Linked DNA regions of Anolis sagrei. The protein of the gene in region 2 binds, or shares a complex with, the protein of the main gene of each other region. Links are inferred from orthologs where the notes say so. Each region holds a gene or a part of one and is shown on either strand. Other genes may lie near its edges.

Evidence for each region.
Region 1: the proteins of EDN1 (region 2) and EDNRA are in contact, whole or in part, in a cryo-EM structure (PDB 8HCQ), measured with the Homo sapiens proteins. The link is inferred for Anolis sagrei from reciprocal best matches to the Homo sapiens genes EDN1 and EDNRA. Residues at the interface, in NP_001403492.1 of Homo sapiens: Cys53, Ser54, Leu58, Asp60, Lys61, Glu62, Cys63, Val64, Tyr65, Phe66, Cys67, His68, Leu69, Asp70, Ile71, Ile72, Trp73; in NP_001948.1 of Homo sapiens: Tyr68, Gln72, Thr73, Lys74, Tyr129, Asp133, Ile136, Asn137, Lys140, Leu141, Gly144, Arg145, Trp146, Gln165, Lys166, Val169, Glu220, Phe224, Val227, Phe229, Tyr231, His236, Lys237, Thr238, Cys239, Met240, Leu241, Asn242, Gln252, Lys255.
Region 3: the proteins of EDN1 (region 2) and EDNRB are in contact, whole or in part, in a cryo-EM structure (PDB 8XWP), measured with the Homo sapiens proteins. The link is inferred for Anolis sagrei from reciprocal best matches to the Homo sapiens genes EDN1 and EDNRB. Residues at the interface, in NP_001403492.1 of Homo sapiens: Cys53, Ser54, Cys55, Ser56, Ser57, Leu58, Glu62, Cys63, Val64, Tyr65, Phe66, Cys67, His68, Leu69, Asp70, Ile71, Ile72, Trp73; in NP_000106.1 of Homo sapiens: Pro88, Pro89, Ile94, Glu95, Ile157, Asn158, Lys161, Glu165, Asp166, Trp167, Val177, Pro178, Gln181, Lys182, Val185, Phe240, Ile243, Met245, Tyr247, Leu252, Ile254, Leu256, Leu257, His258, Pro259, Lys270, Lys273, Leu277, Trp336, Leu339.

The regions. Positions count from the first base shown.
Region 1 is NC_090025.1:48,320,374-48,328,035, reverse strand, and holds the start of EDNRA (endothelin-1 receptor), read right to left. Parts: upstream 3,043-7,662; 5' UTR 2,787-3,042; intron 1-2,786. UniProt on the Homo sapiens protein: Receptor for endothelin-1. Mediates its action by association with G proteins that activate a phosphatidylinositol-calcium second messenger system. The rank order of binding affinities for ET-A is: ET1 > ET2 >> ET3.
Region 2 is NC_090024.1:82,602,433-82,610,007, reverse strand, and holds the start of EDN1 (endothelin-1), read left to right. Parts: upstream 1-4,485; 5' UTR 4,486-4,766; coding exon 4,767-4,836; intron 4,837-7,575. UniProt on the Homo sapiens protein: Endothelins are endothelium-derived vasoconstrictor peptides. Probable ligand for G-protein coupled receptors EDNRA and EDNRB which activates PTK2B, BCAR1, BCAR3 and, GTPases RAP1 and RHOA cascade in glomerular mesangial cells.
Region 3 is NC_090023.1:116,296,482-116,303,403, forward strand, and holds the start of EDNRB (endothelin receptor type B), read right to left. Parts: upstream 3,038-6,922; 5' UTR 2,894-3,037; intron 1-2,893. UniProt on the Homo sapiens protein: Non-specific receptor for endothelin 1, 2, and 3. Mediates its action by association with G proteins that activate a phosphatidylinositol-calcium second messenger system.

The DNA.
Region 1 (7,662 bases), on a different chromosome or scaffold from region 2:
TTTTCAAAGAAAACAGGGTAAATTCTGCCATTAAGTCATTAAGAATTAGATGATTCTAAATTGATAGTCTCTTGACTGTTCAGCAACTCTATGGAAAGCATATGGCTGGGTCTTTCTATTCGGCGGCAGTCAATTGTTCAGGGTTTTAGTCTGAAATCTTAAAGGTGTTGCAAAGGGAGCTTAAACCCATCTCCCAAATAGCTTTTGCATTTTGTACAGCACTTTTAAAATCTGGATTAGACCCCAGAGCAGATTCACTGCCCTAATGACCTTGAACACCTCAGCTGACACTACCGGTTGAACATCCCTGACCTGAAATTCTTTTGAATTTTGAAATATTTCTAGATACATAAGTGTGCTGTAGTGGTTTCAGTATTGGACAAGACTCAGGAGAATAGGGTTCAAATCCCCATTTGGCCATGAAAATCCACCCAACAACCTTGGGCAAGCCACAGTCTCTTAGGGTGCATCTACACCAGGTATGGGCAAAGCCAGGCCCAGGAACCAGATGCGCCCCTTGGGCTCTTTTCTCAGGCTCTCCTCTCTTTCACCATCCTATCCTTCCTTCCTTTTTTCCCCTTCTGCCTTCCCTCCCTCCGTTCCTTATCGCTCCCTCTCGCTCTCTTCCTTCCCTTGCACCCTTTCATCCTTCCTTCCGGACCCCCCGGTGGCACAGTGGGTTAAACCCCTGTGCCGGCAGGACTGAAGACCAACAGGTCACAGGTTTGAATCCGGGGAGAGGCGGATGAGCTCCCTCTATCAGCTCCAGCTCCTCATGCGGGGACATGAGAGAAGCTTCCCACAAGGATGATAAAAACGTCAAATCATCCGGGCGTCCCCTGGGCAACATCCTTGCAGATGGCCAATTCTCTCATACCAGGAGCAACTTGCAGTCCTGACACGACCAAAAAAAAAAAAAAACTTCCTTCCCTCTTCCCTCACTCCTTTCCTCTCTCTCTCTCTCTTTCCTTCCTTCCTTCCTTCCTTCCTTCCTTCCTTCCTTCTTTCCTTCTCTCCATTGCCTTCCATCCTCTTTCCCTTCTTTTTCCTTCCTCCTTCCCTCCCTAACTCCCTTCCTTATCTCTCCCTCTTCCTTCCCTTGCACCCTTTCATCCTTCTTTCCCTCTTCCCTCACTCCTTTCCCCTCTCTCTTTCTCCTTCCTTCCTTCCTTCCTTCTTTCCTTCTCTCCATTGCCTTCCATCCTTTCCACCTGGAAACTAATTTCCTCACTGTGGGAGAACATGTAGATCAAGAATAGAGCTCCACAGCTACCTATGGACCCAACTCCAAAACATTACACTTGGAGGTCCATCATCCTTGGAGCTCCTGGTGGTGCAGTGGGTTAAACTCTTGTGCTGGCAGGACTGAAGACCAAGAGGTCGCAGGTTCAAATCTGAGGAGAGCGCAGATGAGCTCCTTTCTGTCATCTCCGGCTTCCCATGCAGGGACATGAGGGAAGTCTCCCACAGGATGATAAAACATCCGGGCGTCCCCTGGGCAATGTTCTTGCAGACAACCAATTTTCTCACACCAGAAGTGACTTGCAGTTTCTCAAGTCGCTCATGACACACACAAAAAAAAACCTTGCTCTACAAGGGATCACCAAAATAAAGTTCATGTGGCCCTTTTGGAGCATTTCAGGTAAGGGATGCTCAATTTGTACCTTAGAATCATAGAATTGGAAGAGACCTCATGAGCCATCCAGTCCAAACCCCTGCAAAGAAGCAGGAAAATTGCATTCAAAGCACTCTCGACAGATGGAGCCTCTGTTTAAAAGTCTCCAAAGAAGGAGCCACCACCACATTCCGGGGCAGAGAGTTCCACTGCTGAACATCAATCACAGTCAGAAAGTTGTTCCTAATGTTCAGATGGAATCTCCTTTCTTGTAGTTTGAAACTTCCACGTCCTAGTCTCCAGGGCAGCAGAAAACAAGCTTGCTCCCTCGTCCCTATGACTTCCTCTCACATATTTATACATGGCTATCATGTCTCCCCTCAGCCTTCTCTTCTGCAGGCTAAACATGCCCATCTCTTTAAGCAGCTCCTCATAGGGCTTGATCTCCAGACCCTTGATCATTTTAGTCACCCTCCTCTGGACACATTCCAGCTTGTCAATATCTCTCTTCAATTGTGGTGCCCAGAATTGGACACAATATTCCAGGTGTGGTCTAACCAAGGCAGAATAGAGGCTTGCTGTGTTCATACCTCTCAGGGCTCTTCCAGACAGGCTCTTTATCCCAGGATCTGATCCCAATTTTTTTTGTTTATCCCAGATTATTCTGGCAGTGTGGACTCATATATTCCAGTTTAAAGCAGAAAACCTGGGATCTGGGTCCTGTCTGGAAGGGCCCTCAACTGCAGGGAAGAAATAATGGAAGGAGGCTGTTGGAAAGGGTTCACCATCTCCTCTCCTCCTATTGTAGCCTCCCTGGGCCTGCTTTTGCCTTGAATCAGCATCTGCTGCCATTTCCTCCCACTTCTTGACCTTCCCAGTTCTCAGAAGGACTTTCAAACAAAGCAAAGAACTTTAGATGGCACAGAAGAGAGGGACTGTTCCTCACCCCCCCTCCCAATCCGTTCTCCTTTCACACAAGACCAAGATACACACATCTATTTCAAAATCGCCGCCACTTTCAGAAAGATCAGCCACTTTCCCCCTGCAGTCTCCCTGGCAGCATCTCCCAAAGAGCCTGATACCTTCCTCCCTTCCTTCTGTGGTCCAAACACAAAGAGACCAACCCTTCCAGGAGACTCACAAAAGGGGGTATTTTTTTATGAGACCCTACCGTATGAGGAGGGATTTGTTTCCCCAGCTGGACGTGCAAGTTTGGGGAGGAAGGAGCTCCTGCCTGCGTCTCTTTCGGAGGAGTTGTGCTCGACTTCTGCCTGGATGGCTGCTCTCTCCTCCTCCTCTGCCAGTGGAGAGAGCCTCTCCCCATCTCCCCTCCCCAATTCCAAAGAGGGGGGAAGCCCTCTCCAGCCCAAACCGAGAGGCTGCCAACGTCCCGTCCGAGAAGAAGGAGCAACCCACCCCCAGACGGCCTCTGCTCTGCAAAAAAGGGGAGGCAAAGTGCTTTAACCAGTTCCTGCCCAGGATTCCTTGGAAAGGCTCTGTGCAGAGCCCTCCATGCAAGCAGGAGGCCCATCCCCTTGGTGTTATAGTTTGAGAGTTGGATTACAGGTACACAATGTATGGGGAGACCACATATTAACTCATGAAAACTTTTCATTTGTATATATATTTTAAACTATATGATTTATAAGATTTTTTTTTCATGTCAGGAGCGACTTGAAAAATTGCAAGTTGCTTCTGGTGTAAGCGAATTGGCAGTTTGCAAGGACATTGCCCAGGAGATGTTTTAATGTTTTACCATCCTTGTGGGAAGCTTCTCTCATGTCCCTGCATGGGAAGCTGAGGCTGACAACCGGGAGCAAACCCTGTCTCACAGATTTGGACCGCCAACCTTCAGGTCTTCAGGTCAGCAACTCAGCTGGCACAAGACAGTTGGACTACAGGTGCAAAATGTATGGAGGGACAACATATTATCTCATGAAAACTTTTCATATATATATATATATATATATATATATATATATGATTTATAAGTGGTTCCCTAAGCTTGGCCCCATGTAAGCTGCCCCGAGTCCCTTCAGGGAGATAGAGGCGGAGTAGAAAAATAAAGTTCTTCTTCTTCTTTTTTTGTGTCAGGAGTGACTTGAGAAACTGCAAGTCGTTTCTGGTGTGAGAGAATTGGCCATCTGCAAGGATGTTGCCCAGGGGAAGCCCAGATGTGGAAGGCTTCTCTCGTGTCCCTGCATGAGAATCTGGAGCTGACAGATGGGAGCTCACCCCGCTCCCTGGATTCGATAAGATTTTTGTTGTTTATTCATTCAGTCACTTCTGACTCTTCGTGACCTCATGTACCAGCCCAGGCCAGAGCTTCCTGTCGGCCGTGGCCACCCCCAGTTCCTTCAAGGTCAAGCCAGTCCCTTCAAGTATACCATCCACCCATCTTGCCCTTGGTTGGCCCCTCTCCCTTTTTCCTTCCATTTTAGAATAGTTAATAAAACAGAAATAGATGTTTTATGTATTGTCGAATGCTTTCATGGCCAGAATCACTTTCAGCTACCAGAATGGTATCATCTGCATATCTAAGGTTGTTAATGTTTCTTCCAGTAAATTTTATCCCAGCCTTGCATTCATCAAGCCCTGCATGTTGCATGATGTGTTCTGCATACAAGTTGAATAGGTAGGATGAGAGTCCTGCATACTCCTTTTCCAATCTCAAACAAGTCTGTGGTTCTGTGGTTTGTTCTTACTGTTGCCATTTGGTTGTTATACAGATTCCTCAGGAGAGAGACAAGGTGACTGCCTTACCAGTAGGCAAAGTAGGACAGATGTCTATAGCCTTCATAGGAGGTGGAAAATGTGCCTCTCTGTGTGTGGTTCTTTATCATGCCAAATTTTAGCTTTGCTGTGGGATCAAGTAGCATTTGCTGCTTTGCCCTCAGACTGCAAAACCTCTTGGTGCGGACTGACTTCCAGTGTTTTCTTGCTCCATGCAGAGAGCTGAGCATGAGAAGCACCACAGCATGGTCTGGGGAATGCATTATCATGGCCCCAAATAAATATTGAGTTGTTAAAAGAAGAACCAGTGTGGTACAGTGGTTTAGGCATTTGACTAGGACCCTGGCTGGAGGTGTACCTGCACTGTAGAATTAACACAGTTTGACACCACTTTAACTGCCATGGCTCAATACTATGGAATCCTGGGAGTTGTAGTTTGGGGCGGTCCAAACATTTTTTGGCAGAGAAGGTTAATAGATACTTTGTAAAACTGTAACTCCTATGGTTGGGACTTCAATTCCCTCTTAGTCACAGAAACTTATTGGGAGACATCAGGCAAGTCATATTTTCTCAGAAGAAGGCAACAGCAAACCTCCTCTGAATAAATCTTACAGAGAAAACTGTTGGATTAGATGTAGATTTCCAAAATTGCTTTTGGGGAAAGCTTGAATCCCTTGGCTCACTTTGAGACTAGTTTCAGCAAAGTAAGACAAATAGATCATATGTGAAGTTAGATAGCTATAATTTTAATAGTTACTTTGAGATTTACACTTAGAAAAAAATATACATAGATTTTCAAAGCCTTGACACAGTAAAGAAAAGTTTGAAGTATGGAGTTCAGGAGAGATGACAGTCACCATTGAGGGAGGAGGAATGGGGGGGGGGGGGGTTACGTGGTCCCTGGAATTTTTCTAGATGCATGGTCTGGTTGCTTAGATACGTGAACGCGTTGATGACAACATATTTCAGTTGGTTATTGAGCAAATGGGGAAAGTTCTAGAGAAACAGTTTTTATATGATAAGGGCATATATTTACATTGCCTAAATCACAATTGCTCTAAATAGGAAATGAGAAAGGGAGGCATAGAAAGAGTGATTCATTAAGCAGTATTTTTCATCATAAATCAGAAATGACATAGCATATCCTTTGCTCCTGCACTCCTACAACCGTGGCCAGTGGATTTCCTGACCTCTCCTGTGGTCTGGGAGTGGACCATGATTCTGTGGTCACTTTGGGTAGAAACTCTAGCATAGAACATATCCCAGGAGTCTGAGATGTTTGGGCCACTACTGTCAAGCTCTTCAAGAGCTACAATTTCCCAAACAATTTGGAACTTGGGAAACCCTGTACATAGCATGTCTGTCTATCTATCTATCTATCTATCTATCTATCTATCTATCTATCTATCTATCTAAAAGAAATAGCACCTTGTGGATGAAGTTGATTACTTAATGAGCCCCTTATTTAGTTTTGTACCTTGGTGGGTTAATGCAGTCAGTTTCATATACATACAAAATATTTTCCCAGGTTCTCATTCTCTCTCTCTTTCTCTCTTTCTCCGTGTGTATCTATGTATCGTATATGAGGAGAGACCTATTCTTCTGTTGCACTGTTTAAGAGATGAGGCAGACCACAAACTATTCAAAACTCATTCTGTTATTGGATGCAGTTGTTAAAGAAATGAGGGGGGAAGGCATTTCCCCATCTATACAATCTTTTAAAGTTTTCCAACAATAAAAAAGGGCCTGGATGGAATAGCATCAAGAAGAAGCAGGGTTACTGTTCAGGGTCACACCTCCCAGAATCCCCAGTCAATGGGACCATCTTTTAAAACTGTATTTCCGTTAGTACTTATGTGGAAGTTTCATACACATTATCTCTAAACTGCTTCTATGCATATAGGGTTTCTTGAAATGTGAAAGCATGCTGTTCTGAGGGAGGCAGTAGGCAAGATTGGTCCTGTGGAAGAGCATCTGATGACCTTTGGGGAAACAGTTATAGGGAAGGGCAGAGAGAAAAAGGAACCACAACCAGAGCCAACTGCACTGTTATACTGTTGCTCCATTCTCTTTCCCTTGCTTCAACTCCGTTTTTGTTGGCAGATCTCGCCTTATATGTTGGCTTAGATTTCCAAGTCAATTCCATGTGGTGAATAGTTTCCTTCATGACATGTTTACATTTGAGTGAGATGGGAGTGTTTGATGTCTTTATTGGGCCTGCTCCTTTTATTGAAAGTGTTATCTGCTTGCTAAATTACTTAGATTGACCTTATCTAGCCTGTCACTGTCCAGATTTATTTGACAACACAAATTATCTCTAGACACTATGACCCATGCCAAGTCATCCTTCCCCAACTTGGCATTCCCCAGATGTGTCAGATTACCTTAACACCAATAGTTCAAAATATCTGAAGAATACCAGATTAGGTAAGGTTGATTTAGAGTTTAGCGTCCATGTGGTTGGAGGATCTGGGTGCTGCATTCCAAAAACAAGTTTTCTGAATGCTGGTCTGTATTGAACAACAACAGATACAGCGGAATAATTGTTCCGGGAAATCCCTTGTCCACTCTTGCAAAGTTTATTTTTCTCAGGAAAGCTAGTTTGGTATCAAATCAAGAAGTTTTGATCCCCCACCCCCTCACCCCTATTTCTTCATGCCAGCAGCCTGTTGTAGACATATCACAATAATAGTAATGGTAAGACTTGGATCTTTTTCACACATGTTATTTATTTCTGAGAACACAGTATTTCTTACTCATAAATATTTTATGTTAATTAAATATATCTGTTCTTTTTGAAAGTGCTTTGTGACATATGTAAACTTTTACCATAATATAGAAATCCCTTTGAAGTCTGGGAGAGGATTGGCTTACTACATGATACAAAAACTTTATTTTGGTTTTGGAATTATTACAGGGATTCTTTCCTTGTACAAAGGAAACAAGTAAAATAAAGATACATTCCTGTTTCCCACTCTTTTAGGATTGTGCACAGAAAATACTGGTTTGTTTTGGTGTCTGAATCTTTAATTCACATTTGGACAGGAGGCTTTTCCACTTCAGAGTTACAAACTGGCATAGTGTTTGTCTCATAACTGAAGCAGCACCATATTGAATTCTCCAAAACCTCATATGCATTGTTCACTTAGTATAATGAGGGCAATGTCTCAATTGTTTGGGAAGAATTTGAGGAAAGCATGGTAGCCTGTTTTTATGGAATGACTCATGCCAAATATTTTGATGCAAAAGCACATTTAAAGGCTGTAAAGCTTTTTTGGGAATCCCTTCCAATTGTTTTATGGATAATTTGTTAC
Region 2 (7,575 bases):
CGAGACCATTTAGCTTTGGCAAATTCAGAGAATTATTGAGGGAATGAGGGAGATATACAAGTGGTCCTCAATATGTGGCTCCCCATGTGTTTTGATATGTCACTTTCCAAAAACTCTCCCTAACACAGCCAAAAATGTGGGATTCTGGGAGATGTCATTCTGCCATTCTAGGAAAGTAAATGTTGAGAATTATTTATTTATTTATTTGCAGCATTTGTAGCCCGCCTTTCTCAGCCTTACAGCAACTCAAGGCGGCTTACAAAATTGGCGGAATTTAATGCCAATTTTGTAATTGGCATTTTGTAATTGGCATTTTAATTCATAAAAATACAGTTAAAGCATTCAACCTAATATTATAAAAGCCATATAAAACCATTAAAAACATATCATCACCAGTTAAAACATTATCCAGCAGCATCGTCTAGCCATTCCATGTTCATTCTTCCTATTTCATAATTATTTATTCCGCTGCATTTCCAAACAAGCACTGATCTAATCCAACTGGCTGCTCAGCACAGAAATCTTTCCATTGCAACTGTCTTGGTAACTGCTGAACCACTTCTTAAATACCTCCAGTGAAAACAATCCACCACATTCTGAGGCATCTCTTTCCATTGTCATGTTGTTACCATTAGGACATTTCTCATCCCAAACACCAGACTTGTAAATCCACAGAGCTACAGAGGCCCCCTGGTGGCACAGCGGGTTAAACCACTGAGCTGCTGAACTTGCTGACCGAAAGGTCGGTGGTTCAAATCCAGGGAATGGGGTGAGCTCCCACTGTTAGCCAAACTTCTGCTAACCTAGCAGTTCAAAAACATGTAAATATGAGTAGATCAATAGGTACCGCTTCTGCGGGAAGGTAATAGCGCTCCTTGCAGTCATGCTGGCCACATGACCTAAGAGGTGTCTATTGACAATGCCAACTCTTCGGCTTAGAAATGGAGATGAGCACCACCCTCCAGAGTCAGACACGACTATACTAAATGAAGGGGAAACCTTTACCTTTATAGGCATGACCTATGCAGCCAAGATTGAACTGTTCATCTACTTGATGGAACCGTTCAGCTCCATACTACGTTGGCTGTCAGTGAAAGTTATCTCAGGCTGGATCTTCATTTCCCTGTATCCCAGGATCTGATCTCAGATTATCTGTTTATTCCAGATTATCTGAGTGTGGACTCATATAATCCAGTTCAAAGCAGATAGTCTAGGATCAGATTCTGTGATATAGCGCAGTGTAGATCTAATCCAGACTCAGAGTATCCCATCATTGTCTCAATGTTGTTCCAGGACCTCCAGAAGTTGCAGTCCAAAGGAATAATTTTTCCAAGCTCTGTTCCCCACATGATTCCCCCTTGTATTAGTAGAAAATGGGAAGTTTCATAAAGTAAAACCAGAAGGTGAGTGGAAAGTGATTTTAAACGTCGGATAGGACTTGCATACTTTCAGAGTCAGCCAGTTCTTCTGTGCTGTAGAATTATTAAGGCTCAATACCATGGAATCATAGTTGGAGATGCTTTTATTTATTTAACGTGTCAGGAGCAACCAGACATTTGCATTACATTTTTAACAAAACAAACAAACACACAGACAGACAAAACACAATGTTTGCAAGCTTGATAGTTGATTCAATGTCCTTTGACCAGTATCTGGCCATTTGGAGTGCCTCTGGTGTTGCCATTGTGCATGTAGCAGGGCTCAGGTTGCATTGCAGCAGGTGGTCAGTGGTTTGCTGTTCTCCACACTTGCATGTCGTGGATTCCACTTTGTAGCCCCATTTCTTGAGGTCGGCTCTGCATCTCGTGGTGCATCTCGTGGCGCCTTCCAAGCCGCACAGTTTTCTGTGTGCCCAGGGGGGAGTCTCTCTTTTGGTACCAGCCATTGATTGAGGTTCTGGGTTTGAGCCTGGTTGGAGATGCTGAGAAGCAAGAATTCTTTGACAGAGAGGGCTAAAGATTTGGTAAAACGACAACTCTATCGCATTCAGCCAGGGCAGTCAAAGTGTCAAACTGCATTCATTTTACAGTGTAGAGGCACTCACAGTGACTAACATGAAAAAGAACACTGACCCAGCAGAGCGAGGGAGAAGAATGAAATGTAAAATGCATGGGGTAATCAGTAATGAAGCTATCGCCCACCTTATCAGTTTATGCACAAGATCACACAGACTGGATATAAGAAATGTTGTGAAATACTGCAATGATACTCTGGAATCTGTGCAAGATTATGATCTACCACCTGCAAAGAAATAGTGGGAACACAAGAATGAAAGAATTGTCAGAAATGTTGAAGTAAACATCTTAGCAGAGAGCCAACATTGTGTTCGTGGTTTGAGCACTGGACTCCAATTCTAGAGACTGGGATTTGAATCCCCACTCAGCCATAGAAAGCCATTGGATAACCTTGGGCAAGTCGCACTTTCTCAGCCTCAGGAAACTGTGATTTCTTCTGCTTAAGGTCAACATAAGTCGGAAACAACTTGACACCTCTCAATAATACCTAATAGACTGTGGTGCCTCGGCACTACAGAATAAATGCAGTCACCACTTGAGCTGTGATGGTTCAACATTATGGAATCCTGAGATTGGTAGTTTGGCAAGCACTAGCACTCTTTGGCTGGGAAGGTGAAACTATAACTCCCAGGTTTCTACAGCATTGAGCTATGGTGGTTATAGTGTAGTCAAACTGAATTCATTCTAAAGTGTTGAAGCACCCTGACAAATAATAGTGTCCTTTGGGTGGGAAACATCTTTGCAGATGACAACTTTGAACTGCATTGGGTCAATGCTATGGAAGCGTGGGATTTGTAGTTTGCTGAGACACCAGCACTCTTTGGCAGAGACTGCTAAATGCCTTGAAAATGTGCATTTTTTCCATGTCAGGAGCAACTTGAGAAAGTCGCTTCTGGTGTGAGAGAATTGGCCATCTGCAAGGACATTGCCTAGGGGGTGTTGTGGGAGGCTTCTCTCATGTCCCTGTATCAGAAACTGGAGCTGACAGATGGGAACTCACCATGCTCCCTGTGGTCAACAGTCCTGCCGGCAGGGGCTCCTTATCTCCACAGTAGAATGAATGCAGTTTGACACCACTTGAGCTGCCATGGCTCAATGCTGTGGAATCATGAGAGTTATAGTTTGGTAAGCCACCAGCACTCTTTGGCCGAGAAGATTACAGAGCGTGTAAAAATACAGTACTGTGTCTATTTATGATGCACCAGGGTTGCCCTCTCTGCCAGGCAAGGCCTTCTCTCTGTGATCGCTAAGGGTGTACATTGATCTACTCACATTTGCATGTTTTCGAACTGCTAGGTTGGCAGGAGCTCCCCCCGCTCCCCCGATTCAAACCACCGACCTTTCAATCAGCAAGTTCAGAAGCTCAGCAGTTTAATCCAATGCACCACCAGGTTTATTTACTGTATAAATAAACATAATAGTAGTAAGGGGGCCTCTCTACTGCAGAATGAATGCAGTTGGACAAACGTTAACTGCTCAATGCAATAGAATCCTGAGATCTGTAGTTTTGCAAATCCTTGAGCCTCCTCTGCCATGGAGTGCTGGTGCCTCACCAAACTACAACTCCCAGGAGACTTGAGAATGCTCTTTGAATGTGGGTGAACTATAAATCCCATTAACCACAACTCCCAAGTGACAAAATCAATTTTTTGAGTGATGGTCACTCCTTGGGTTAGTAGGGTCTTGTGCCCAAATTTGGCAGCAATTCGTCCATTGGATTTTTAATTATGTTACTCATTGTTTGGATCCACATGTGTTGGTGTGGCCCACTCTGGTGGTCATGTAGGTTCTGTGTGGGAGGTTTGGCCCAATTCTATCGTTGGTGGGGTTCAGAATGCTCTGTGATTGTAGGTGAACTATAAATCTCAGCAACTACTACGCCCAAATGTCAAGATTCTATTTCCCCCAAACTGCACCAGTGTTCACATTTGGGCATATTGAGTATTCGTGCAGAGTTTGGTCCAGATCCATCATTGTTTGAGTCCACAGTGATCTCTGGGTGTAGGTGAACTACAACTCCAAAACCAATGGACACTGCCCACCAAACCCTTCCAGTATTTTCTGTTGGTCACGGGACATTACATTTTTATTTATATAGATTTAATTTAATTAACTGCCAGCGTTCAATGCAATAGAATCCAGAGACCTGTAATTTTGCAAGTCCTTGAGCTTCCTCTGCCCTGGAGTGCTGGTGCCTCACCAAACTGCATGGCCTTGAGCCAGGTCAGATCAAGAGGTGTGGGACTGCATTGACTCCTTTTGCAGTGGAGAACCTATGCAGAATGACTCGAGAGCGAGTGCGCCAGCGCGCCCCCTGCCGGCCGAGCCTTGGAGGCGCCCCTCCTGGGCCCGGGGGCTGCCCTTGCTTTTTCCCCCTGGCCAGGTCTGCGCCGGGTGTTTGTTTTCCTGTGCGAGCCTGCTTGCCTGCCTGCCTGCTTGCCTGCCCCTTTGCCTTTGCCTTGGCCAGACGGCGTCTGCCCCGCTCAGAGAAACTCGCGCGATTTCCTCCCCGGCCTCCCCTTATCTCGCCCCGCACGTTGCCTCTCGGTGACTAATCGCACAATAACATTGTCTCCGGATCAAATCAAAGCCCGGGGCTGTTTACCCGGCGCTCTATAAAAGCAGCCGCGGGGAAGGCGGGCCAGGCAGAAGCGCTCCGGCAAGCAAGGCAGCCAGTCAAGACTCAGGAGCCGACCCGCTTTTACCAAAAGGATACTTTACACTCGTGGGAAAAAGAGAAAAAGAAACACAATGGGGATGGATTACGCGCGGCTCATCCTTCCTCTGCTCATGGTCATGAGCCAAGGAGTTCCGCGGGCAGGTAAGAAAGAGATGCCGCAAGCTTTTCTTTTGGAGGAGATCCTTGCTGGATTTTACAGCCACCTTTTGACGGAGAGGCTGCCCAGGAAGGTGGGAAGCCCTCTGAATGGATGCAGTTTGACACCACTTTCCTGCCAAGGCTCAAAGCTATAGGATTCTTCTCTGCCAAAGATTGATGCTTACCTCACTAAGCTGCAACTTCCAGGATTCCTTGAGCCGTGGGGTCAAACTACATTCATTCCACAAGCAGGCAGGGGCAAACTTTAGTCCTCCAGGTGTTTTGGACTCCAACTCCCACCAATCCTAACAGCCTCAGGCCCTTTCCTTAAGCGGCTGAGGGAAAAAAGAAAAGGACCTGAAACTATTAGGAATGGTGGGAGTTGGAGTCCAAAACACTTGGAGGGAAGGCCCAAGTTGGCCCATGCCTGGAATAGATGCAAACCTCTGGCTAAGCAGGAGGGCAACTAAAATGATCAAGAGAACAAGCTCAATGAGGAGCGGCTTAAAGAGCTGGGCATGTTTAGCCTGAAGAAGAGAATGGTGACAGGAGACATGATAGCCATGTATAAATATGTGAGAGGGAAGAAGGAGCAAGCTTGTTTTCTGGAGACTAGGGCACGGAGCTATGGCTTCAAACTACAAGAAAGGAGATTCCACCTGAATATTAGGAAGAACTTCCTGACTTTGAGAGCTGTTCAGCAGTGGAACTCTCTGCCCCGGAGTGTGGTGGAGGCTCCTTCTTTGGAGGCTTTTAAACAGATGCTGGATGGCCATCTGTCGGGGGTGCTTTGAATGCAATATTCCTGCTCCTTGGCAGAATGGGGTTGGACTGGATGGCCCATGAGGTCTCTTCCAACTCTATGATTCTATGATAGCCTTTGGGGCCAGGGTTGCTTCACTGCTTTGTCATATTTTGAACTGAACTGACTTTCCTCCCAAGTTCACACTAAATAAAGGCCCCAATTTGAAGGAGGATGTCTATTGGGGAGGTGTGTCAATGTGTTGAAGGAATGCTCTTGGGCACTACTTTTCACTGCCACGGTTCGTCTCCAGAGGTACCAAACTGCAAGGCTCACGAGTCCATCGCACTGAGCCATGGCAGCTAAAAGTGGTGTCAAAGGGGATTCATTCTACAGTGCAGATGCTCCTTAAAGGCAGAGAATGTTGGGATCCTTCGCCTGGATCAAAAGATCCTTTTAGCTTATGGAGGTTGGGGTTGCGATGTGGCCTCAAGTTTTGCAGAATGGGGGCAGAAGGAGGGGAAGTCATAGGGAGAGGCTTGTTTTCTGCTGCCCTGGAGACTATGGACCCTTCCACACAGCCCTGTATCCTACATAATCTTAGTGTGAACTCCGATAACCCAATTCAAAGCAGATATTGTGGGGTTTTCTGCCTTGATATTCTGTGTGGAAGGACCCACAGATAACCCAGCACAAAGCAGATATTGTGGGGTTTTCTGCCTTGATATTCTGGGATATAGGGCTGTGTGGAAGGGCTCTAGGATGTGGAGCAAACTACAGGAAAGGAGATTCCACCTCAAACTACAGGAAAGGAGATTCCACCTTAATATAAGGAAGAACTTCCTAACTATACGAGCTGTTCATCAGTGGAACTCTCTGCTCTAGAGTGGGTGGAGGCACCTTCTTTGGAGGCTGGATGGCCACCGTTTGGGGCTGCGATTTTCTTGCTTCTTGGCAGTGGGTTGGACATGAGGTCTCTTCCAAGTCTATGATTCAATGGAAAGCATGAGTCCCATTTGGCTGGCACCTGGGAAGGGATATGCCTGAAGGTAAAGTTGAGCTCAGAGCTGCCCAGAATGGAGCTGGGAATGCAGTTTGGCACATGGACCAGGATGCCCTTTCCTAAATAAACAAAATACAAACCTGAAGGAGTGGGGAAACCCGCTATGATTTCTTTGGAGTGTGTCCTTCCCCGGATTAGTCTTTTTCTAGTACCTATGGGAGTGTTTTCGCAGCATCTTCCGCAGAGCTGAAAAGTTTCCAAGGGCTCATTCATGCTATAGAATGAATGAAGCCTGACACTGTCAGGGTTCAATGCTATTGAATCGCGAGAGATGTAGTTTGACAAGGTTTTGGTGCCTCATGAAACTTCAAATCCCAGGATTCCATAGTAGTGAGCTATGGCAGTGAAGTGGTATCAAAACCTATCAATGCTACAGTGTAGATGCCCATCACTGCTGCATTGTGAGAGTACTATGATTCCACTTTCACTGCCATGGCGAGATCCTCGCTTCTCAGCTAGGTAAAGATAAAGGTAAAGGTTTCCCCTTGACATTAAGTCTAGTTGTGTCTGATTTTAGGGGGTGGTGTTCATATCAATTTCTAAGCCAAAGAGCCGGTGTTGTCCATAGATGCCTCCAAGGTCATGTGGCTAGCATGACTGCATGAAGCCCTGTTACCGTCCCGCCAAATTGGTACCTATTGATCTACTCACATTTACATGTTTTCGAACTGCTAGGTTGGCAGTAGGAACCCTTGGGCATCACTAAACTACACACTTCAAATTCCCACACCATGTTGTGTGGCAGGTGAACTGGAACAACAGCAGTAGGCAAGCTTAGAGTGCTAGAACCAGTGCCACATTTAAAATCATAGAATCATGGAGTTGGAAGAGACCTCATGGGCCATCCAGTCCAACCCCCTGCCAAGAGGCAGGAAAATTGCATTCAAAGTACCCCCGACAAATGGCCATCCAGCCTGTTTAAAAGCTTCCAAAGAAG
Region 3 (6,922 bases), on a different chromosome or scaffold from region 2:
ATTCAATTTCCCGGGTGGACAGAAAAGCTTTGGAAGGGAATAAGCAAAAGCCTCAAATCTGCTTTGTGTCTCCTTGTGGAGAGAAAAAGATAGACCTAATACTAATACTGCTAATAATAACAATACTCCTGACCTCATAATATTTATAATATAATATATTATAGTTATATATAATATATATTTGTATATTATATAAATATATAAATGTATATATTATATAAATATAATATAAATGTATTTTTATCTCTCTCTCTCTCTCTCTCTATATATAATGTAATGTTAGTTTGTGGGATTAACATAACTCAAAAACCACTGGGTGGATTGACACCAAATTTGGACACAATACACCACTCAGGCTAAGGAGTGGCCATCCCTCATAAAAAACACAAAAACACAGCAGAAGAAACTTAAAAAGCCAACTTAAAAAACTTAAAAAGCCAAAAAACAAAAATTACATTACAATGCATGCGCAAAACCACACACACACATACACACATATATATATGCAAACACACATACACATTTACACAAATACATTGCACACACATATATACACACATAACACTCATATGCAGACTGGGCCACAGCAATGTGTGGCAGGGGATGGTTAGTGTGTGTGTGTGTGTGTGTGTATGTGTATATAATTGTTTGTGTGATTAACATAACTCAAAAACCACTGGGTGAATTGACACCAAATTTGGACACAAGACACCTATCGGGCCAACAAGTAACCATCACTCATAAAAACACTGAAAAACACAACAGAGGGGACTTAAAAAGCAAAAATAAAAATACATTTACAACGTATGTGCAAAACCACATACACACAAAACATATATACACAGACTGGGCCACAGCAATGCATGGCAGGGGACAGCTAGTGTGTATGTATGTGTGTGTGTTTGCCATACTTGTACCCCGCTCTTCTCTACCCCGACAGTGGGACTCAAGGCAGCTTACAATGGCCCAACGTTATGCCTCAACACAATCACTTAAACATTTCAAAAATTGCCACATATTAAACAGAGTTAAAACAGATTTAAAAAGTTAAAAACGTAGAAACATGCCATACAAGTTCATGGTCTGAGTCCATTATATTATAAATATTATAATATAAATGTATATATAATACAAATATTATATTTATATAGAATATATATTTATATAGAATAAAAGTATATATAATATAAATATTATAATATACATTTATATTATATATAAATATATTTATATATAATATAATATATTTATATATAATATTCATATTATTTATAAATAAATAATAATAAACTACTCTGAGAAATCCAAATTCAGACTGACAGAGTTTTGGAGCACATTACTCCTGACCTCACGATCATGTAAAAAAAAAAAAAGCTATATGGATCTTTGATGTTGCAATCCCAGATGACAGCAGAATTGTTGAGAAAAGGTTACACGATATGAGGATTGAAAGATCGAACTGCAAAGACTCTGGCACAAGCCAGTCAAGGTGGACCCAGTGGTGATGGGCACACTGACTGCAGTGCCTAAAGACCTTGGCCTGCTCTTAGAAACAATTGGAGCTGACAAAATTGCCATCTGTCAGCTGCAAAAGGCTACTCTACTCAGATCTGCACGCCTTATTCGCTGATACATCATACAGTCCTAGACACTTGGGATGTGTCTGACATGTGAGCAAATACAAAAGCCTGCTTATCTTGTTTGCTGTGTACTAATCTTGTTGTGTATCAAATAATAAACCAATATCTCATTTGGGCAATAATACCCCTATTACTTTTTAAAGTACATAAATTAAAGTACTTTAAATCCTATGGCTTTTGTAATATTTTTGTTAGAGTTATCTCATAGAATCATAGATTGATAGAGTTGGAAGAGACCACATGGGCCATCTTGTCCAACCATCTGCCATGCAAGAAAAGCCCAATCAAAGCATCCCCAACAGATGGTTGTTCAGCCTCTGTTTAAAAGCCCCGAAGGCAGAGAGTTCCACTGTTGAAAAGCTTTTCCAGTTAGGAAGTTCTTCCTAATGTTCAGGTTGAATCTCCTTTCCTGTGATTTGAACCCATTGCTCCGAGTCCTTCCACACAGTCTTATAACCCAGAATAGATGTCAGATAATCCACAATAGTTATCTGAGTCTACACTGCCATATCAATATCAGTTCAATGAGGATGGTATCCAGACTTTTGATTATTTAGTTGCCCTTAAAATGTTTCCATCTTTAAAACAAGGAACAAAGTTTCCCTATTGGAACAATTTTGCCTTTTTAAAAATATGCTCATTTGTTCAGTCCATCTCGGAGGGCATAAGGTGCTGGGACTTTACATTTCTTGAGGCTTGCTTAGGCAAGGAATATTCAGAGTTAGTTTAGTCAGTTTCTTTCCCCTATTCAAACAACAAGGATAGAAAAATCAGTTCCTGTATTCAGTAACATGAGTATAGTATTTGTACTAACTCAAAAACCATGTGAGATTTAGAAAAACCCTTCTTATTCAATTTGGAACAACCAGAGGAGCATCAATAACAATGCAAGTTTTTTTCTTGCATTGTTTATATTAATTAATGAAGTTAATTAATTCAGACTTGGCCATTCCATCAAAAAAAAAGAAGCCCAAGGCTTTCATACACCTGTTGAGGCAAACTGTCTTTGACCTGCTGCGTCTTGAGTTCTTCCAGTGTTTAGCTCTTAGGAATTATTTTCCCCCTCAATCTTTTTCATTAGGCAGTCAGTCAAATCCCACTGATTTCATTAACTCTGCTTCCAAGCAAGAGCTCATTGAAACGGATGGCTTAAAGAAAATGAAATAAAATGAGCATTACATTCAAACAAGGCACATTCTGCTTTTCTCCGTAAAACCACATGTTCTTCTTTAATGGGTTTAATTGCTCTTTACCTTGAAAATACTCCAAGCAGCGAAAGCTCTTTCTTGTCTTAGACAGCCAGACTGCACACTCCTTGGCAGGAACCTTCACTTCACGGGGGTTTTGTAGCAGCTGGGAAGCAGAGATGAGTGAGCTGAAAACTGTTATGTGCTTAATTTCTAGCAAATGGGGACAGCCTCCCTGTTTCTTAAAACATGCACGCACATCTATCCCATCAATCATTGTCAAACCCCACCCACCCCTTCCAAGAGAGCAACAACCTTGCCCCTCTGTCAGTTCTGAAGGCCTGGAGAGCGTCAACAGAAAATGTCTTGCTGGTGGAGGCATGCAACAGAGGCAGTGTGCATAGATGGGCAACACAAGTAGGGAAAGCATGTGTTTTTTCCTTCAAAAATATACAAATGTTTGAGAGCCAATATGTACAGTAGTTAGAATAACCCTGTCCTCAACCAGCTGCCATTCATATGCGTCAATTGCAGTGCCCATCTTCTCAGAAGATTATTATTATTTATTTCATGTTGAAAGCATTGCATATATAAGTATAAAACTGATAAAAATAGAAGGAGCACAAGCGGCTAAATAATCTTTGATCAAAACCGGGCAAGAGACCACATTGCCTGGAGCTTTAAACAATTCTTCCTCTGTGCTTGAGGCAGGGCATTGTGGACAAGCATACAGAGGAGTGGTGGTTCTCATGTAGCTTTTCCTTGTTGAGTCTACTGGGAGGAGGCTGATAGCCATGCAGTGGATGGCTTTCACAGTGTTCAACCTTATTTCTCTCACAATTAGCAGCAACTTCCCATTGCACATCCAGGGGCAATGCCAGCTAACGTGTAGAGTCTATGAACAGGTGTAGGTTTGAGACATCCTGTGATAATTCTGCATGTTTCGTTCAGTGCTATGTTCACCTGCTTCGTGTGAACAATCTTGTGCCAAACAGGGCAGGCATACTCAGCAGTTGAGTAAGACAAGGCCAGGGCTGATGTTCTTATTAATTTTGGGTCATCTCAGGAGATGCTGTTCACCAGATTTTAGACAAGGATGGGTTGTAGGTCAGAATAGAACTACTGGGTGAATGCGGAGCCTGAGATTTGGATCTTCACATTCCTCCCTTGAGACCATTGCCCCAGTCAGTTTGGCTAGTTGTGACGTTATCTGAAAGATTCCGAGAGCTGTAGTCCAAAATATGACTTTTCTGAACTGTATATCTCTAATTTTATTTTTTGTACATTTCTAGATGATTTTTAATAATTCTCAAACATACTGTTCCTCAGCTCTATAGATAGATCTTCATATCCTTGGGTTCTGAATCCACAGATTTACCCAACCATGGCTTTGTTTAACCTAAAAAGCAAACCTTGATGTTGCCGTATATGCTGACGTGTAGGCATATTCTTCTGTAGCATCCTAACATTTCACAGATCCTCAGACTCTCCCTGAAACTTGTTTGTATTGTTTGGTGTTTTTTAAAATAAAGATGCCATTTTATTATGCCATTGCATATAATGAAATGTAAGCATCTACAGATTTTAATATCTATCGGGGAGGGTCCTGGAACCAAACCCCAAAGGATATTCATATTCTCCTGTATTTTTAAAAAGTTCATCTTCTTTCCTCAAATACCTACAAATTGAGATTTCAGCACCATTGTGAAAAGGTAGCAAATGTGACTCAAGGTGCTCTGGGAGACAATCCAGATTGACAAAATATTAAATGAATCAGCATAGATAGTTCACAATAGCAGAATGACAACACCCCCCCCCCCCCCCACAAAAAACCATGTGGAACACCATGTAATGAAATCTCCTTGATTTCCAGATTCATGGGCTGAATCTGAATTTCTGATGGTCTAGAACTCCCATTGGTAGCACCTTGTAGATGGTAAAACAAGGATAATTCACATTCCCATAAGTTCAGGATCGATACACTTGAGTTTTAACAAATTTGTATATACAACAGAAAGTGAAGTTGCCATATGGAGTAATATGCAACTATATGGTTAATGCACAGCTTGGCCCTTAGTCTTGGATTCTAGCTGGGAGTGAGTTCATCAGAGAATCAAAGGTATTTGTACAAAAAGCAAATCACTGTGGGAGAGCATTTCTTGCTTGGTTAAAGGAATTCAGTTTAAAAATCCCCATTTCACTCATCATTAGCAGGGCTTAGTTTCCAGGGTTCCGGTAGCACAGGATGTGCATGGGAACAAAGTAGTTGCGATAAGTGATTCATTTTCCCCCAGTTATATTGCACCTGCTCATTATCAGCTCACAGGAAATCTGTTAATTGCAGCCACAGCATGTGTGGCTAAACCCTGAACAATGACAAGACCTCCGTAGTGCAAGGCTCCTGTCCCATACATCGTCTGTCAGCCGCATGCTTTACCTACTGTGGGATTGAAACACCACTGTTCCCTGGTTTCCTACAGACATTGTCAGCATGGTATGGGAAACACTTATACAGAACTATCTCTGGTAATCAAGGGCCTCTTTTGGGGGATGTATAGTTTTTAATGAAATACAGAATATTTACAACATTCAAATAACCAAATCCATTTAAAAAAGTTATATTGATGCTATAATTATTTACATTCACTGAACATTTTTCATGATTTTTACAGTAAGCAAATCCATCTTGCCCTTCCCACATATACAACTGATGATTCATCCTGAAAATGCATTTATTAATTGATTAAAATATTTGTACCCTGCCCTAGGTCAGGTGATCTTAGTGCTGCAGATAAGCCACTATTTATGACCCAGCTTAGGCACTACTCTAATATGTGTTGGCATCAGGACCGATTGGCTCAGTGTGAAGGTGTTGCCAGATGTGCTGCACTTGTTTAATGTCAGCAGGCCACAAGGCTAGAAGCCAAGGGGAGGGGACTGTGGGAAAAACCAGTGAATGCAGTCACTTGGGCCTACTGGGCCATTTGGAAGAAGACAGAGAGCACTTGTTTATTGAGTCAACATAGTGTGAGGTTTTGACATCAGAAGTGCCCATGCAACTGGAACGAAAGATGGGACCAATCTCTCCACTTTCTTCCTGGTTGTGCTGATTTCAAAATGGGACACCAGAGATGACCAGGACCTCGCATAGAGCTCTGTGAGCAGTGGCATGACCCATCCCCCTTTCCCTCCACTGATGATCATAAGGAAAAGTTGATGGTGGTGGATCATTGGACGTGTCCAAATTATCCAGCCATCCCAATGGCCCTGAAACCTCTGGATACTTTAGAGCATTGTTTCTCAAATTCTACTCCTCTTAGTATTTTGGACTTCAGCTCCCAGAAATCCCATCCAGCTTACCAGCTGTTAGGACTGGTTTCCAGCAGTCTCTGAAGCATCCTCATGACTTACATGAGGATATCCCAGGTGGCGCAATGGGCTAAACCCTTGTGCCAGCAGGATTACTGACAAAAAGGTCTGCAGTTTGAATCCAGGGAGCGGGATGAACTCCTGTCTGTCAGCTCCAGCTTCTTTCAGGGACATGAGAGCAGCCTTCCATAGGATGGTAAAACATCTGGGCGTCCCCTGGGTAATGTCCTTGCAGATAGTCAATTTTCTCACACTTGAAGTGACTTGCAGTTTCTCAAGTCACTCTTAACAATAATAAAAAAAATGACTGACACAGGGCAAAGCTGGTTTAACCTAGAAAAACTCCAGATTAATCTAGCATCTTTCTATGTCCTTCTTCCATCAATAAGCAATGGTTGCGGCAAAAAAGCTTTTAATTTGCTTTAGTTTCTTTCTTTCTTTCTTTCTTTCTTTCTTTCTTTCTTTCTTTCTTTCTTTTAAAATTGCTTTTATTTGGTTAGTGTCTTAAATTAACCTGCTCCATGTTATAATTGTATTTTTTAAATTGAAAAAATTGATTTGATTGTGATATCTTGTTTAAGAAGAAATGGTGCAAATATAACATCCCTGAGATATGTAGCCTTTTTCATTTTATGCAGCGTTTTGTAAATCTTCCATAATTTACTTGTAGCAAGGGAAAGTTTCAGTAAATCTTTGATGTGATCCTTTATTCTAGGAGCCAAACTT